Arabidopsis thaliana: one gene and its partners. The protein of the gene in region 1 interacts with the protein of each later gene in a pairwise test. Each region holds a gene or a part of one and is shown in the gene's direction. Other genes may lie near its edges.

Region 1 (3,731 bases):
TCGTAAACAAAGACAAAATGTCGTAGAAATCTTCTGACGGTTGGTTTTACAAACTTTGCTTCGTAGAGTTTTTTTAATAACATTTTTAAAGAAATCACACAATATATGACGATGCGTGAGAAAGAAGAAACGTCTTAAATTAAGAGTGAGGGTGGGTGTACGGACGATGTCGATGGCTGACGTACACCATCACGGTGGTAAAGACGGTGTCTCTTTGAAGTAGATGTCTTTATTCTTGATGACGATAACAATGAGAAGATCAATATTCAATAATAAAGCAATGGTGATGTATTTGTTTTTCAAAAGAATTGATGTTTTTAAATGGATCGATATAGCACATAAATAAGTTGACTTGGCGGTTGGGCATTATATTCGATGTGATGATTCGATGGTTGGTTTTTCCGGTTGGGTATGACTCCACAATGACGCCCGGATGTCATAGTCTAAATGACTGTGTGACCGTACGATAAAATCGAGATAACTTTTGAAGTTTGGTTGGGTATTACTGCCGACTGTTAGGTGTTAATTTTCATTCAGATAAAGTCAATAAACTAAAAGGCAAATAGATAGTAAATACCGTTACGAAAGCTAACACCTACATATTGGAACACATGAATGAATGAGCAAGAGTTGTTTTCTTTATTCGTTTTACTTTGTCGAGTTTTTGCTTTTGCATATTTCCTAATTCTTTTTTTAGAGGTTTCTTGTTTTTGGTCAAAAATTTACAGGTTTATGATAATGTTTTGAACAAGTTCACGTGTAAGGATTAATTTTTTGGCTTTTTCAACAACAAAAGGGGTACTAGTATGATTTTAATCCACACACGAATGACTTGGATCCACGAATCCAACTTCAAATTAATTATAAGAAAAACTTAATTTGCCCATCATTAATCCTTAGATAACAAAATTTCCAGCTATTAAAAAGTAATTATTATATGTGGCATTGAATTTCAAACAACATTCAAATTTAAATGTTATTATTTTGTCACTCAAATTTAAAGGTTATTTATTGACTGGATAATGTTCTTGGTTTGATTGGGTTGCTACGGTTGGATGCGGTTAAAGACCAACAATTTCATCAGAATTAAGGATGGTTGATTTGTACCCACGATATAACATTCGTGTCTAAACATCTTTACATGCACATGCAATGTTGCGAGATATAGTTCACATAAAATTTGGTCCGGTTCACTTGTCTTGATTTGGTTGTACACTTCTACCTGATGAATATATATTCTTATGTTTTAAGAACCAAATCATATCCTCAGAACTAAAGTACCATCTTAACCGGTAAAGAAGCTTAAAACATCGTCATGTATACTGCTTAGCATTCTATACAAAGTAACGTCAATCCACGTTGTTTTTTTCTTTCACATTATTCAAATATTTTTATATAGACGTTCTTTTTATTTTTGATAAAGTTTTTATTTTTGTCAACGATGAACGTTTAAAAAAAAAAAATATGTCGAGTTTTCCCAGCTCCTACAAAAACAAATAAATTAAGACTTTAAATCCCACCTGGAATTAGAAGGTTTTGGTTGACCTGACAAGGCAGATGTTTGGTAACAACAACATGAACCACACATTGGGGAAAGAATCATGAAAATTCCTTGAATCGTAAATTATTTCAGGAGAAAATGACTCTATCTCTAACCTGGTTGATATATCGCAACTAATTCAAATTAGTAAAAATCGAAAATGTTATCGCATTTTGAAATTGTCTTTTGTGAAGATTGTTTCTTTCATTTATTTGTTTAATGCATTTTATAATAAAGTCAAACTATTTTAAAATCTTTGTTTAAAATAATAGCTTACTTACGTGGCAAGTTGAGGAATTTCAATAAGAAGAGGCACCGCGCGCATGTCTTTTACAATTCCTAGACTGTTTCTCTTTACTCTGTTTTTTTGCTCTGTTTTTTTTGTTTGTTTGTTAATGGCCGAAGACTCTAATTCTTCCGAATCAATCATTGTTAACGTCACCGGAGATGATAATAAGTCGGCTTTGTTCGGTAAGTACGATCTCGGTAAGCTCCTCGGTAGCGGCGCGTTTGCCAAAGTCTACCAAGCGGAGGATCTTCAAAACGGCGGCGAAAGCGTTGCGATCAAAGTCGTACAAAAAAAACGTTTGAAAGACGGTTTAACGGCGCACGTTAAGAGAGAAATATCTGTCATGCGCCGCCTCCGTCATCCTCATATCGTGCTCCTCTCCGAAGTCCTCGCCACAAAGACGAAGATCTACTTCGTCATGGAGCTAGCCAAAGGTGGTGAGCTCTTCTCAAGAGTCACCAGCAACCGTTTCACAGAGAGTCTTAGCCGGAAATATTTCCGGCAATTGATCTCCGCCGTGAGATACTGCCACGCAAGAGGAGTTTTCCACCGTGATTTGAAGCCGGAGAATCTCCTCCTCGACGAGAATCGAGATCTGAAGGTTTCAGACTTCGGTCTCAGTGCGATGAAGGAGCAGATCCACCCCGACGGAATGCTACATACGCTCTGTGGAACTCCGGCTTACGTAGCACCGGAGCTTCTTTTGAAGAAAGGCTACGACGGTTCTAAAGCTGATATTTGGTCATGCGGCGTCGTTTTGTTTCTTCTCAACGCAGGCTACTTGCCGTTTCGTGATCCAAACATCATGGGACTCTACCGGAAAATCCACAAGGCTCAATACAAGTTACCGGATTGGACATCTTCAGATCTGCGGAAACTCCTCCGCCGTCTCTTGGAGCCAAATCCGGAACTGCGAATCACCGTGGAGGAGATTCTAAAGGATCCGTGGTTCAATCATGGAGTAGATCCAAGCGAAATCATCGGAATCCAAGCCGATGATTACGATCTGGAAGAAAACGGTAAAATTCTAAACGCGTTCGATTTGATTTCTTCGGCGTCGAGCTCGAATCTCTCCGGTTTGTTTGGAAATTTCGTGACGCCGGATCATTGCGACCAGTTTGTATCCGATGAGAGTACGGCCGTTATTATGAGGAAGGTCGAGGAAGTTGCGAAGCAGTTAAATTTGAGAATCGCGAAGAAGAAGGAGAGAGCGATAAAGCTTGAAGGTCCACATGGAGTAGCTAATGTCGTCGTTAAAGTTCGCCGGCTAACAAATGAACTAGTGATGGTGGAGATGAAGAACAAGCAAAGAGACGTGGGCTTGGTTTGGGCCGATGCTCTTAGACAAAAGTTACGTCGTTTGATTAACCAACCGGTTTATAAAGTTCCTGACAAACCGTAAAACGGTTTCAACACTAAACCAACAATCCGTGCGTTTTACTTTTAGAATTTTCAACGTACTACACTCGGGATCGAGACGCATTGTGGTTAACCGGTTCGGTTTACATTGGAGCAGGGAGAGTAATGGGACGATCCGCCTCTTTGTATATAAAAATGACAAGAAGAAAGAAAAAAACAAACCGGGATTCAATTATTTTTGTTTATTTATTTTCGGAGTATAATTTAAACACAAAAATTATTTGCTTTATTCATCGGAGAGAATTTGAATAAAACTCTGATTTGAACTTTGTAGCCTTTTATGTGTGACCGTGTGTGTTTGCAAACTTGGGCCTTATTTTGCGCTAAGGGACATGCTACACCGTTTGTAATATTTATCGTTGTTGATTTTGTTTGGCAATCGTACGAAGTATTTCAGGATCTTTTATGTATGAATGTTTATTTGAGTTTGTATTAAAAACATATATATGAATGTTACAGATTAACGAATAGTTGTCACTGCTG
Region 2 (4,458 bases), 2.1 Mb from region 1:
GGAACAGAGACACTTTTACAATGGAAACAAAGAAAAGTATAAACAATATCTTAGATATTGCATTACGTTTCATCGGGTGATGTCAAGTGATAAAGATGGAAAGCGTGACCAGAGATATGCTCCTCAGGTACACCCACCATCTCCACTTGCTGTTTTGGATCCCGAATCAATTGTATCTGCCACAAAAGTTGTATACACAGAAAATTCACATTCCGAGGATAAATTAAGTGATTGCCAAGATGTAAACAATAAAGGATGACCAATGCACCTGATCCATGTCGTAAGACACACCCAATTCCTGGAAGCAAGAAATAACAGCTTTTGCTGTTCCGGATGCATCCAATTTGCTAGCTTGATGAGACTCCATCACCTACATATAGATTGGCAGTTGATTAGATGTAGCAAGAAGTAATATAAAACTAACAGAGAAAGAAAAAAGAATTTGAATGTATAAAAGAAGTAAGAAAAGTACATCCAAGGAATAACCAGAAAAGGCTCCCGGAAACTGCTCAGCCATGATCTCCATGGCCGCAAGAAATGCTACAACCTATAGACCAACAAAGCACACAAATATGAGCAAAAATGATCTTAACTTACATGCATAAGTAATCATTTCTTCCAGAAACATTCAAGTACACATACCTGTTTACCCATCTGTGGAGAAATCACAGCATAAATCTTTGCTTCCTCAACAGTTTCATACAATTTGTTCCTATCTCCACCAGTTGTTCCCATGACGAAAGGAACACCTACTTTGCTATACAGCTCCGCATTATCTACATTTTGCGAGAATACCAAACTTGAAATCAACAAACAATAGACAAAAAAAACACTTCTAGCAGATGATTTTCACTTGCACAAATTCTAAACTAACTCAATCAAGGATCGTTCCGCCAACCAGAATTCAACCATAACTTCAACAAATCTAGAATACAATTGTCTTTTGATGGTAGAAATGAGAGATTCTGAAGTTTACCATTTACTGCAGAGGGAATTGTGTAGTCGACAACAATTAGCTCCGGGTGCTTCTCAAACACCGAAGAAAGAACCTTTTCTCTTTCAGTTGGACCGTGCACAGTAATCTCCTTTCCACAGACCTCAACTCTCTGACCATCCTCACCAGCAGATCCAAACGATATGGGAACAATATTTACTCCTGCAGAGTCTGCTGCTTTAATTACAGCTTTCCCCATTTTGCCACTACATCCATTCACCTGTAGAATAAGAGATAATGAATATAGCTAAATCCAACATAAAAATCCCCATTTCAAAAGGAACAAGCTTTGACATTTCTACATTTCAAACTTAAATGGTAATGCAAAGTCAAATCTCACAACTTTGAGTCTAAGAGAAATCATCAGATGATCAGGTTTACCATGATGGATATGCCATTTCCAGGCAAAACAGATTTCACGGCCTCCTCACCGGAATCCGCCATCGCCGTCATGGATAAAACCACCGGAAGACGACGTGTCCCAATGCCCATGAAACTAACACGGCCTTTACCGTATTTTCCTACAGTCTGATTCGTTCTAGAAGCAAATGCGATACGCGGGCGATGAAGAAACACACTGGACGACGCCATTAACCTGTGATCAAATCGTTTAAATTCAATAGAATCCTCTTAAAGAGTTTAAAGCTCATCTCCGTCAATCAAAACGTGAAATTCGTAGGTTTCGAAACGTACCCATTCGTAGCCATAAAGGAATTTACTCTCCAGGATACGGAAGTTTTGTTCTTTGTTACGACGGAGTCAAAAGTTTAAATCTTTCACTTTTGTCTGAAAATTTCCGGCCGGTGAGAGTGATTGGGGATGTAGGGTTTAGCTTATCCCTTTTCATCAAACCGGAAATCTCTAACCAAACTAATAGATTCAATGAAACCGTAATTTTAATGAAAATAATAAACCGGAAGCCTTGAACCGATTTGATAAGCTAATGGACCTCACAGTCTCACTCTTAACCTGAAGAACGAAGAACCGTCTCTAAAACTCCGACGAACGAAAAATGAAGTCATTAGCTTCGCCGCCGTGTCTCCGCCTGATACCGACGGCACACCGTCAGCTCAATTCGCGTCAATCTTCCTCCGCCTGTTATATACACGGTGGCTCTTCTGTGAACAAATCCAATAATCTCTCATTCTCCTCATCCACATCCGGTAAGCTTGCTTTCTCTCACTTCTCTTATAATAACTCAAATCGTTTTTTCGCAATTTCGTGATTGAGATGTTAACATTTGGTGTTAGGATTTGCGTCACCACTAGCTGTAGAGAAGGAATTACGCTCTTCATTCGTACAGACGGCTGCTGTTCGCCATGTTACGGGGTCTCTTATCAGAGGCGAAGGTCTTAGATTCGCCATCGTGAGTTCTCAGAATCGCTTTCTTACTTTGTGCGCTGCTTAGATTTAGTGACTTGGTTCTGATTTACAGTGAAATTTGAAAACTTTGAGCTCAATTGCAGTGTTGACTTGGTTCTGATTCATTTTTCTTTCTCAAGGTGGTAGCTCGTTTCAATGAGGTTGTGACTAAGTTGCTTTTGGAAGGAGCGATTGAGACTTTCAAGAAGTATTCAGTCAGAGAAGAAGACATTGAAGTAAAAGTCTTTTGCTTGTAGAACAGAATAAAAAGTTATGAGCTTTCACAAAGCTAATGACACTGTTTTTATTCAGGTTATTTGGGTTCCTGGCAGCTTTGAAATTGGTGTTGTTGCACAAAATCTTGGGAAATCGGGAAAATTTCATGCTGTTTTATGTATCGGCGCTGTGGTATGATTCTTGTTTTGAAAGAATCTCAGGCTATTCCATTTGTTTTTCTCCTCATATGGCTTCAGAAAGTAGTTGCTTTATGTTGATAACATATACTTAAAGAGTTGGATTTTGATATTACTGTTGTCCTTGTTGTGGTTTAGATAAGAGGAGATACCACACATTATGATGCTGTTGCCAACTCTGCTGCGTCTGGAGTACTTTCTGCTAGCATAAATTCAGGTTTACCTCGATACTTATTTGCTGGATATACATCTTTAGACATTTTTATTTGACATTGTTTTGGAAACACTGAAAGATTGATTTTGTATACTTCCGAACCTAAAAGAGCGGGTAGTTCATTTTTGCTTTTCTTTGGATTTTGGATGTTTAAATTCCCTCATCATGAATTACTTCTTCAAATTTTGTGTTTACGCACTATTGACTCTAGTAATTAAAGCTTATAAAAAATCCAATTTGCAGGCGTTCCATGCATATTTGGTGTACTGACTTGCGAGGACATGGATCAGGTTTAAGTTGTGTTATGCAAGAGTTGATGATATATAGCTTATTCATCATAATGGATGAACACTGAATTTGTTAATATTGTGGTTAACTGAAACTCTAGGCTCTGAATCGATCTGGTGGCAAAGCCGGCAATAAGGGAGCTGAAACTGCTTTGACGGCGGTAAGTATCATTATGATTCAATCCTTTATTGTTAGAATAAGATGTAGAAATTCCTGATCATTCCATTGAGCAACTGGTCATGTTATAACCATTCGGGTTCTTATGTCTTTTTGGTAAAGTCTTTGAATATTTCTTCCTCTTGTTTTTCAGCTCGAAATGGCGTCGTTGTTTGAGCACCACCTGAAATAGCTCGGCTCGTTCGATGGATGAACATGATCACGTATGAGAACCTCTTGATGTTGTCCCATTTGGTTACAATCCAGTCTCTGAAATTGTTTGTACCTCAAAGATTGTCAAAATGTTTTACCCTTGGTTACAAAATCATTTAAACGCTTTTGTAAGCTTCTGGCCTTGTTTTTTTTTTTTGAATCGTATGATAATAATAATTCCTCCGAATTTTGGGGGTCTTTCTGTACTAATCAAAAATGTGATCTTCTTTGTTGTAATATCTTGAAATTGAGGTGTCGAAATGGATGTCAATTTTAAAAGCCAATAAGGATCTTACACGACGAAAATTTTGTCGGCGAGCGAAGATTACGCGTCACATTGATAATAGTTAATATAAAGTTCAACGGATCAACCAATTCCACAATCTATAATCATTTTGTGACTCTTGGAGCACTCTCTTCTCTTTGTCTCTGTGACTCACATTCATCCAATCCAGGTAAAAATCAAATCCACTAAGTTTTATTTCTCTTCATTGTTGTTCTTGCGTTGATCCTTCATGATTTGATCGGAATACATGGAAAAAGGTGGTGTAATTAGATCGAGCTTTTTGTTTCTCCGATCTGTTTGACATTTAGGTTGATCTAGTGCTATCATGTGTAGATCGAACATTCGGATCTGTATTTCCCACGAATCCTCTTGATTCACGTGATATGATCATTGTCTCTTAGTACAGAGATGCATTGTATGTTCTTTGGTTTGGGATATTCCACTAGGATCCTAGTTGATGATATCTAATGTGATGCGAGTTCTCTATGGTCTTTGGTGAGAAACTTTGTTTTGGTGATTATAGCCTCTTACA
Region 3 (4,107 bases), on another chromosome or scaffold:
ATCCAGATCGAGCAATGCCATAGCCAATGAGAACGGAAGAAGGAGTAGCGAAAGCAGCAAGTAGATAAGGATTTGAATCAGTGATTGTTGAAGATGAATATGAAGAGAGTAAATCGATAGATAATTTGAAGAGGAAAGGAACTTGAACATTCAAGAACTTAGCTCCTATGAGACACGCTAAAGCAGCGATGACTCTGAATCGGAGTTCTGGGTTGTCTTTCATCCATAGATAGCTTGAAATCGTGCGGAGGATCTTCTTAGATGATGCTGTTTTGGTTTGATCTTGATTTGGAGTTGAAGTTGAAGTTGAGAAGAAGAAGACTCGTGCGTTGACTGGAGATGGAGATGGAGATGGATCGGTGAAGAATGCATTGATAGCTGGTGATCTCTGAATTGAGCTACGTTTGATAAAACTGGAGAAACTGTGATGGTGATGATCAGAGCGAAGACGGTGATACAGAGAAGCGCGAGAGAGGAGAAACCGAGATCCCCTCATCATCGCTTCTTGTCCGAACGAATCACATACAATTTGGTCTAAATCGATTCTTTAATTCTCTGTTTTGTTCTCTCTGTACTACAGAGTAGCTTAACAAGAAGACGAGGAAGAAGATATCAACTCGGAAATAACCGGTTTTGGTTTTCTGTTTTTATTAAGATAATGAAATTAGCTATCTCGGAGATAACCGGTACTGGTTTGATTGCAACTGGGCTTGAGAGAATCAGATACGGTGGTACACACCGCAGCGAATCTCAGAGTATTCATTCTCTCACATGGACTCTTTCGAAAATTCAACTCTTCTACTATATGCAATTAATTAAAAAATTGAACGGTTTATTTGGAAAGTGAAAAGAAGCAACGGTCGGTTATGTCTTCCCTCCAGACGACAGGGTTTTTATTCGGACACCACTAAAAATGGACAGCTAAACTCCTTTATTGCCTTAAAAATTCAATTTTAATTACGTGATTAAAGATTAGATTGCCACTTGATTTTAAAATACTAATTAAACCTATATAGTGATGGTATCTAACTATCAATAGCTTTAAACCGGAACTAATCAGCACCGTCCGATTTGGAAAGATGGATGGACCAAAGGACGTGTGGGCACGAGTCCCCCCTCTCTGTACACGTGGGTCCCACTAAGCCTTCTAAGTAATCTTTTTCTAGCCGTCCGATTGAATCCCATGAAGCTGACATGTGAGCCCCCACTTCTTGAAAATATATATTTGTATGAATTTTGTTTTTATTTTATTTTCCAGCCTTTTAAAAATGTTTTTATTAATACCACGGATACTACCGTTTTGATATCAAATTTTCTTTGAAATCTATCCGATCTTATATCAGATTTTGGAGTCAAATACCAACTACAAAAATCTGAACATTAATACAATAATATACATTTTGAAAAATCATGTTGTCCATTATATTTTTTGGCATCTAATCCTATCGTTAATTGATTATAAGTTTATAAATATATTACAACGGAATTTCGCATAATTGTAAAACTTCCCTATATAAACTTACGAAAAATTGAAATAATTATACCAAAAGTCCACATATTTTATTTTAAAAACTTACATAAGTGGATATTGTTAAAAGAAGGAAAAAAAAAGAGTTTCTAGTAAATATAGTCACGGAATAATGTGAGAAATTTATTATTGGATCAAAAAAATGATAAAATTGGGCGAGAAATAAGACTAAAAGTTAGGGAAGTGAAAAAGAGACAAATCCCACCCGTCGTGTCTTCTTGTTCATCCTTTGTTTCCCTTTTTCTTTCTCACTGTTTCTGCCTTACTTAAAGTCTCAATCTTTGCTTCAAATTCAACCCATCTCTTTTTCCTCCCTTCCCTCACAATCAAAATCTTAATTCTCAGCTTCTGGTTTTGTCGAAAATGGAAGGCGGTTCCGCTAGTGGATCGGCTTCGGCTTTGTCAAACGATGAAAATCTCGTCGTTTCTTGTGAGGATTCTTCTTCTCCTATAGGGAATGAGCTTGAGCTTGGTCTTACGTTGAGCCTTGGTCGCAAAGGGTATCGAGATTGTAGGGTTTACGCTGATGATTCTTCTTCTTCTTCATCATCTTCTTCTCTGAGCAGAGCTAGCGTAATTGCTGGGATCAAGAGGACAGCTGATTCCATGGCTGCAACTAGTGGGTGAGTGAAATTCTCTTCCCTTTCCTCTTTTACATTTTGATCAATTATGGTTTATTTGGGGATTCTTAATATCATGATTATCAATAGAACTATAAATAAAGATTTGATTTTTGCTTTTTATGGTTATGGGATTGATTAGACAGAATGTCCTTGATCACAGTTATCTGAAAAGATTCGACCTTTGTTACGTATAGATGACTTTGAATGTATCTTCCTGATCATTAGATAGTTTGCTTTGGTCATTATATCTTCAAATTGAATCTTACTATCGTTTTCTAGAGATGACAGTTTTTTTCTTCTTGGATTCTAAAGTATTTATTAGCTTTGGAGAGAAAGTGATTAATCCTGTATAGTGATTCTCTTGGTATCTGATTTTACAAGGCCCTGAAGTGTTTATAACCCTTTTTATGTGTTTACTCTTATTTGAGCAATTTGAAACCTTTGAAAATGGCAGGCAAGTTGTGGGATGGCCACCAATAAGGACTTACAGAATGAACAGTATGGTTAACCAAGCTAAGGCTTCAGCCACTGAAGATCCGAACTTGGAGATAAGTCAAGCCGTAAACAAGAATAGAAGTGATTCAACAAAGATGAGAAATTCCATGTTTGTTAAGGTGACTATGGATGGCATTCCTATTGGAAGGAAAATCGATCTGAATGCTCATAAATGCTATGAATCATTGTCAAACACTCTAGAGGAAATGTTTCTGAAACCTAAATTAGGTGTGCTTTTCGAATCTCATGGCCTTTTTTTTGGTTCCTTTGAAGTTGGTTCTTGGTATGGGAAATGAAGTTATGATTCTTTCTTTAATCAGGTTCACGCACACTAGAAACCGATGGTCACATGGAAACACCGGTCAAGATACTACCAGATGGGTCTTCCGGATTAGTACTAACGTATGAAGACAAGGAAGGAGATTGGATGCTTGTTGGCGATGTTCCGTGGGGGTATGCATACATATGTTCTTATGCTTTTGATGCTTTGTCCCGTGTAAGCGTCAAATTCTGAAGTTTGAACCTGAGTTTTACTTGTGTCTAGGATGTTTATTGGTTCAGTGAGAAGGCTCCGGATAATGAAAACATCGGAGGCTACTGGTAAAGGTACATTTACTGATTCGATCAAATCCTGATATCTGTATTAAAATCATTGTTTTGTCGTTGTGACCGTGTTTGTGTGATCCTTGTTTACAGCTCAGATGATATTATGAAGCAAATAATAATCTACGAAGAACCCTTTATGTTTGAAGCAGTAATAAGACAGATCACAGATCAAAGAGAAGACAAAAACATTGTAAGAAGCTTCTTCTTCTTCTCTCCCCTTTACAGTTTCTTTTTTGGCTCTGCCATTTTTCTTTTAGTTAGTTATATGTTCTCTTTGTAAATCACACTTTAAAAATCTATAAGAAAACCCTTTCTTGCACAAAAACAAAACGGTTCAGAGCAATGCACAAAGTTAATATGATCATGTAAAACAAAGGAAACTTATTCTACATGGAAAAATTAAATCAAAAGATACATATCTCTCTCTCTTTCTCTCTTTCTTCTACATACAGAACACGAATCGAACGAATCAGTTTATCGGCCTCTTTTGATTCTTAAATCTCATACTAAAGAAGGCCATTTACAGGTGAAGTACTAAAAACCGATGAATGTTTCTCGGCCAAGCTACGACTAGTGTTCTCTTCATTACTATTACTTTTCCTCCTCGGTTTAGCCTCTCCGAGCATCGATATCACATCTCTCATCGAAGGTCTGTCTTTCGGGAGCTTTGTAGTGCAGAGAAGAGCAATCTGTAGAACTAAAAGCATCTCTTCTTGCACATATCTGCAGTTTCCTACGTTAGGATCTAATGCTTCTTCTAGTGATATGTTGTCTCTTATCTTCCTTCTCACCCACTCCACAATGTCTACTGATTCTCCAAACTCCGGTTCCAATGGTCTTCTTCCGGTTAACAGC
Region 4 (4,537 bases), on another chromosome or scaffold:
ATTCTCAGGTGGTTTAATTACTGATTTAGTAAAAATGCTCATTAATTAGTTAGGTTAATTGTAGCTGTTGACCAAAAATAAAGATTACTTGTAGTCACACGTTAATTAGTGAGATAATTAAATGATACAAAGTGTCATATGAGATATGACTCATATTTCATAACTAAATCTGATTAATTCGAAGAACATTTTAATATTCAGATTGGATCGTGACATGATGGATATGAACTGGATAAAGAATTATTTTAAAGAAGAAAATCTCTCTGATAAATAAATTATTCGATTTGCTTCTTTTTTTTTTATGTATGGGAGATATTTTAAATGTATGTGACAGGGACATAGACACTCTTTGGTTGAGAAGATATGAACAACTCATTTAGTCACGTGTTGAATATGTACAGGCCAAAATACTGTATTTTAAACAATTGGAATTATTGTTTTACTTGTCAAGTGATCACTTTGTTCAACCCAATTCCCCAACTAATTTATTGTTTTATAGTGTCACACTGTCACGAGTAACTAAGCAGGTTCGTGGTCTCGGCCCAATTAAAAGGCCAATCAATTAAACTAAATGCAAGTGCCTATAACTCGACCTATGAAGCCCACTATCTTAGCGATTCGGCCCAAAAAGACAACTTGCCTTGTGTAAAATGATTTCACTTTGTATCCATCCAATGATTCCAATTAATGAGAAGTTATGTTCAGATTTAAGAATTCCAGTTAGTGAACAAAAAATCAACTACTGGAATTTGTTTTGCTTCTTATAAATTTGGTTAGAAAAACAAAACATAAGGTTTATATCTATAAACACAAAGAAATTGTACTAATGTACAGTTCCGAAACGAGTATAGTCAATTATTAAAAGTTAAAATAGTGAAACAAATAATTGCTCCATGAATGACATATTGACATCATTATCTGTTTCTTTGAGATAAGCTAATTTAGGAACTTGTCTCAATCCTGTAAAATGATTTGGACCCTACCTATTTTATTCATCTGTCTTTCTTTGCGTTCACAATTTGATCTTAATATATAAATATATAGTACATGATTGCACTAATATATATATATATATATATATATATATATATTATATGTAGTATAACTATACACGTATGAAGTTGAATTTTATAAAATAAAATTTTCTTTTAACTGAATTTCCAATAGTTGTTTATACATAATTTAGAAAGTTGCAACCATAAAATATATTTCACCATAAAACAACAAAATATGGTTTCCACGTACACATACACATAACACATACCTACTGAATATTCCGTAATTTACGATGCCTGATAATTTGGACCTAATAAAGTTAGTTAAGAGTAAACAGAATTACAAGGAAATTTTAAATTGAGTTTAAGAAAACTAGTAATTGATTTGGAATGCTAGTTATCAAACAAAAGGACAAATATATTTTTCGGATTATTTTTAATAACTTTTTTGTTTGTCACGAAACGACAAAAGCTTTGTCATAAAAACCAAATCCTATCAACTTGCTCAAAAAGCTTCAATAATATCGTACGTGTCCTGCACACGCAGATTCATAAATGTGTTTCTATGCTTTTACAATTTTAGCCTTATGCATAACAGCATAAGGTCTTAATGGTCCTCTCTCCTAATCAAAATTACATTCAAAAGTTGTTGTATAGTTTTTCATTATATTTTCAATAATTCATTTATTTTGTGCCTATGTTAAAACATTTTCATAATTCATTTATAATATTATTTAAATTTAAATGTTAAATATCTGTTCTGCGTTGGCTACTCCTGAATGCAAACAACATTGCAAAAGTATTTAGTTGTGTTTTTAATGCCTAATCACATTAATAGATACTAGATCTAAGGGAAATAGACTTTATGAAAAAATCAATTGACGTTAGGTAAAAATTTGTTTAGACTATTTTTGTCTACCAGCAGACAACTCTGACTAAATTTTTAATCTTATTTACTGCAACTAACTATTAATAAACTAATAAAATCCTAATTTACAATATAGATCTACAGTAAATGAATATAAAAGTCTGGTAGTACCGTAAATAGTACATCAAGATAAGGGTATAATAGTAAACAACCATCGTACTCGCTTCATCTTTTATTTTACTCTAAAATCTCTTTCTGAAGAAAACAACAAAGCAAAGCGTTGAAGAGAGAAGAAGAAGCAAAGATATAACCCCCAAAAGTATCAATTAGTTTCCATTTTCGCCGCTAAGATTCTGTTTTCGAACATTTACACCCTCAAGAATCGCCGCCATGTGTGGAGGAGCTATAATATCCGATTTCATTCCACCGCCGAGGTCTCGCCGTGTTACTAGCGAGTTTATTTGGCCGGATCTGAAGAAGAATTTGAAAGGATCGAAGAAAAGCTCGAAGAATCGTTCGAATTTCTTCGATTTTGACGCTGAGTTCGAAGCTGATTTCCAAGGTTTCAAAGATGATTCGTCTATCGATTGCGATGATGATTTCGACGTCGGTGATGTTTTCGCCGATGTGAAACCATTCGTTTTCACTTCGACTCCAAAACCCGCCGTCTCCGCCGCTGCGGAAGGTAAATATTTAGGGATTGACTTTAGTTTGAGCGATTGAATTGGTTAGAAATTAAGTTTCGATTCTATTTAGCTCTGTTCATAGATACCTTTATCTGCTTACGATTTTGATTGTTGTATAAAGCATGAGGTTTGATTTGTGTGATATTTATATGCATATGAGGTTGAGTGATGAGACTTGATTTGTGTGATGAGATTTGATTAGAGATTGTTGATGAGTTATTTATAGAAGAACTCTTTTGTTTTGTTGTTGTTTCACTACTAGGTTCAGTTTTTGGTAAGAAAGTTACTGGCTTGGATGGGGACGCTGAGAAATCTGCAAATAGGAAGAGGAAGAATCAGTACCGAGGGATTAGGCAACGTCCTTGGGGAAAATGGGCTGCTGAGATACGTGATCCAAGGGAAGGTGCTAGAATCTGGCTTGGAACGTTCAAGACAGCTGAGGAAGCTGCTAGAGCTTACGATGCTGCAGCGCGGAGAATCCGTGGATCTAAAGCTAAGGTGAATTTCCCTGAAGAAAACATGAAGGCTAATTCTCAGAAACGCTCTGTGAAGGCTAATCTTCAGAAACCAGTGGCTAAACCTAACCCTAACCCAAGTCCAGCTTTGGTTCAGAACTCGAACATCTCCTTTGAAAATATGTGTTTCATGGAGGAGAAACACCAAGTGAGCAACAACAACAACAACCAGTTTGGGATGACAAACTCCGTTGATGCTGGATGTAATGGGTATCAGTATTTCAGCTCTGACCAGGGTAGTAATTCTTTCGATTGTTCGGAGTTTGGTTGGAGCGATCAAGCTCCGATAACTCCCGACATCTCTTCTGCGGTTATCAACAACAACAACTCAGCTCTGTTCTTTGAGGAAGCCAATCCAGCTAAGAAGCTCAAGTCTATGGATTTCGAGACACCTTACAACAACACTGAATGGGACGCTTCACTGGATTTCCTCAACGAAGATGCTGTAACGACTCAGGACAATGGTGCAAACCCTATGGACCTATGGAGTATTGATGAAATTCATTCCATGATTGGAGGAGTCTTCTGAAGAGATCCAGTTTCATGTAAATAAGGCTGCATGTTTGTGAGTTTCCCGCATCGTTCGTTTATCAACCTCCAAAACTTTCTAATGTCTGTTACTTGCATCTTCTTCTGCTGTCTCTGTCTGTCTCTCTCAGGAGTTCCTGTTTGCATTGCGAGAAGCCATGAGCCTCTATCTTGAGGGTAGTTGTGATGAAGTTAAGTAGAGGCTTATTTTTAGGGGTTGTGGTAGTTTTTGTTTTAGTGAATCTTTTGAATTCGTTTGTGTTTTGTTTTTGTTACTTTATGCCCCAAAACTCCTTTAACATTTGTCATAATGTGTTTGAACCTCTCATCTGTTTAATCAAATAAATCTTCTTTGTATGCTACTAAGAGTATGTGAGAACTGTTGAACATAACAAAGAAGTCACAAGCTAAGTTTGAACCAAACCGGTTCTCGTAAATTTGTGATCAGAAAAAAAGCGGTGATCAACTGATCATCAAAGTGATTGCCTAGAGAAGTGCGCCACTTTTGTTATTTTGTGGTACAATGAATCTAGAGGGAACAAACGTTGAAACGACGACGTTAAACGACAGAAGAATCTCTAAAGGTTGAACTCTCTTTTTGCAAGTGGTAACTGGTGAGTTTGTGTCTTTCTCGTGACCGTTTCCTTATGATAACAGAAAATAAAAGAGAGTAAATTAACTCTTCTGGACAGTTCTGCTTCTTTAGGTCATTTTCACTCTGTATAAATATCTAAGCATTAGCACACATTCTTTATTTTTTACTGAAACATATTTATATGTATTTGGTAATTTAATCTACTGATTTTTCATATAAATTGTTGTTAGTTACCGTATTACTGTCAAAATGTAGCCCAAAATGTAAGTGTCAAGGTGCTTTGAGTTGTGTGATGACAAGTTTGACATAACATTTGGTTTCTCCTATTATTGTGAAGAAATGAAATTATC

The links.
Region 2: the proteins of CIPK22 (region 1) and COS1 interact in binary tests that used the Arabidopsis thaliana proteins (3 or more experiments, as listed by UniProt).
Region 3: the proteins of CIPK22 (region 1) and IAA11 interact in binary tests that used the Arabidopsis thaliana proteins (3 or more experiments, as listed by UniProt).
Region 4: the proteins of CIPK22 (region 1) and RAP2.12 interact in binary tests that used the Arabidopsis thaliana proteins (3 or more experiments, as listed by UniProt).

Annotation. Positions count from the first base shown.
Region 1 is NC_003071.7:16,113,409-16,117,139, reverse strand, and holds CIPK22 (CBL-interacting Serine/Threonine-kinase), read left to right. Parts: upstream 1-1,935; coding exon 1,936-3,231; downstream 3,232-3,731.
Region 2 is NC_003071.7:18,222,298-18,226,755, forward strand, and holds COS1 (6,7-dimethyl-8-ribityllumazine synthase / DMRL synthase / lumazine synthase / riboflavin synthase), read left to right. Parts: upstream 1-1,915; 5' UTR 1,916-2,006; coding exon 2,007-2,157; intron 2,158-2,244; coding exon 2,245-2,360; intron 2,361-2,496; coding exon 2,497-2,592; intron 2,593-2,668; coding exon 2,669-2,764; intron 2,765-2,907; coding exon 2,908-2,986; intron 2,987-3,226; coding exon 3,227-3,273; intron 3,274-3,371; coding exon 3,372-3,431; intron 3,432-3,581; coding exon 3,582-3,620; 3' UTR 3,621-3,936; downstream 3,937-4,458. Other genes in the region: AT2G44040 (Dihydrodipicolinate reductase, bacterial/plant), read right to left, coding at 67-176, 269-370, 473-547, 643-776, 977-1,214, 1,376-1,589, 1,688-1,701. UniProt on the Arabidopsis thaliana protein: Catalyzes the formation of 6,7-dimethyl-8-ribityllumazine by condensation of 5-amino-6-(D-ribitylamino)uracil with 3,4-dihydroxy-2-butanone 4-phosphate. This is the penultimate step in the biosynthesis of riboflavin.
Region 3 is NC_003075.7:14,140,397-14,144,503, forward strand, and holds IAA11 (indole-3-acetic acid inducible 11), read left to right. Parts: upstream 1-1,738; 5' UTR 1,739-1,891; coding exon 1,892-2,151; intron 2,152-2,605; coding exon 2,606-2,874; intron 2,875-2,966; coding exon 2,967-3,099; intron 3,100-3,190; coding exon 3,191-3,252; coding exon of another isoform or gene 3,253-3,281; exon of another isoform or gene 3,282-3,342; coding exon of another isoform or gene 3,343-3,347; coding exon 3,348-3,532; 3' UTR 3,533-3,573; downstream 3,574-4,107. Other genes in the region: ABCB23 (ABC transporter of the mitochondrion 1), read right to left, coding at 1-499; AT4G28650 (Leucine-rich repeat transmembrane protein kinase family protein), read right to left, coding at 3,759-4,107. UniProt on the Arabidopsis thaliana protein: Aux/IAA proteins are short-lived transcriptional factors that function as repressors of early auxin response genes at low auxin concentrations.
Region 4 is NC_003070.9:20,132,989-20,137,525, forward strand, and holds RAP2.12 (uncharacterized protein), read left to right. Parts: upstream 1-1,855; 5' UTR 1,856-2,253; coding exon 2,254-2,548; intron 2,549-2,811; coding exon 2,812-3,593; 3' UTR 3,594-4,025; downstream 4,026-4,537. UniProt on the Arabidopsis thaliana protein: Transcription factor involved in the activation of hypoxic gene expression and in ethylene response. Partially redundant with RAP2-2. Acts as a downstream regulator in the ethylene signaling pathway.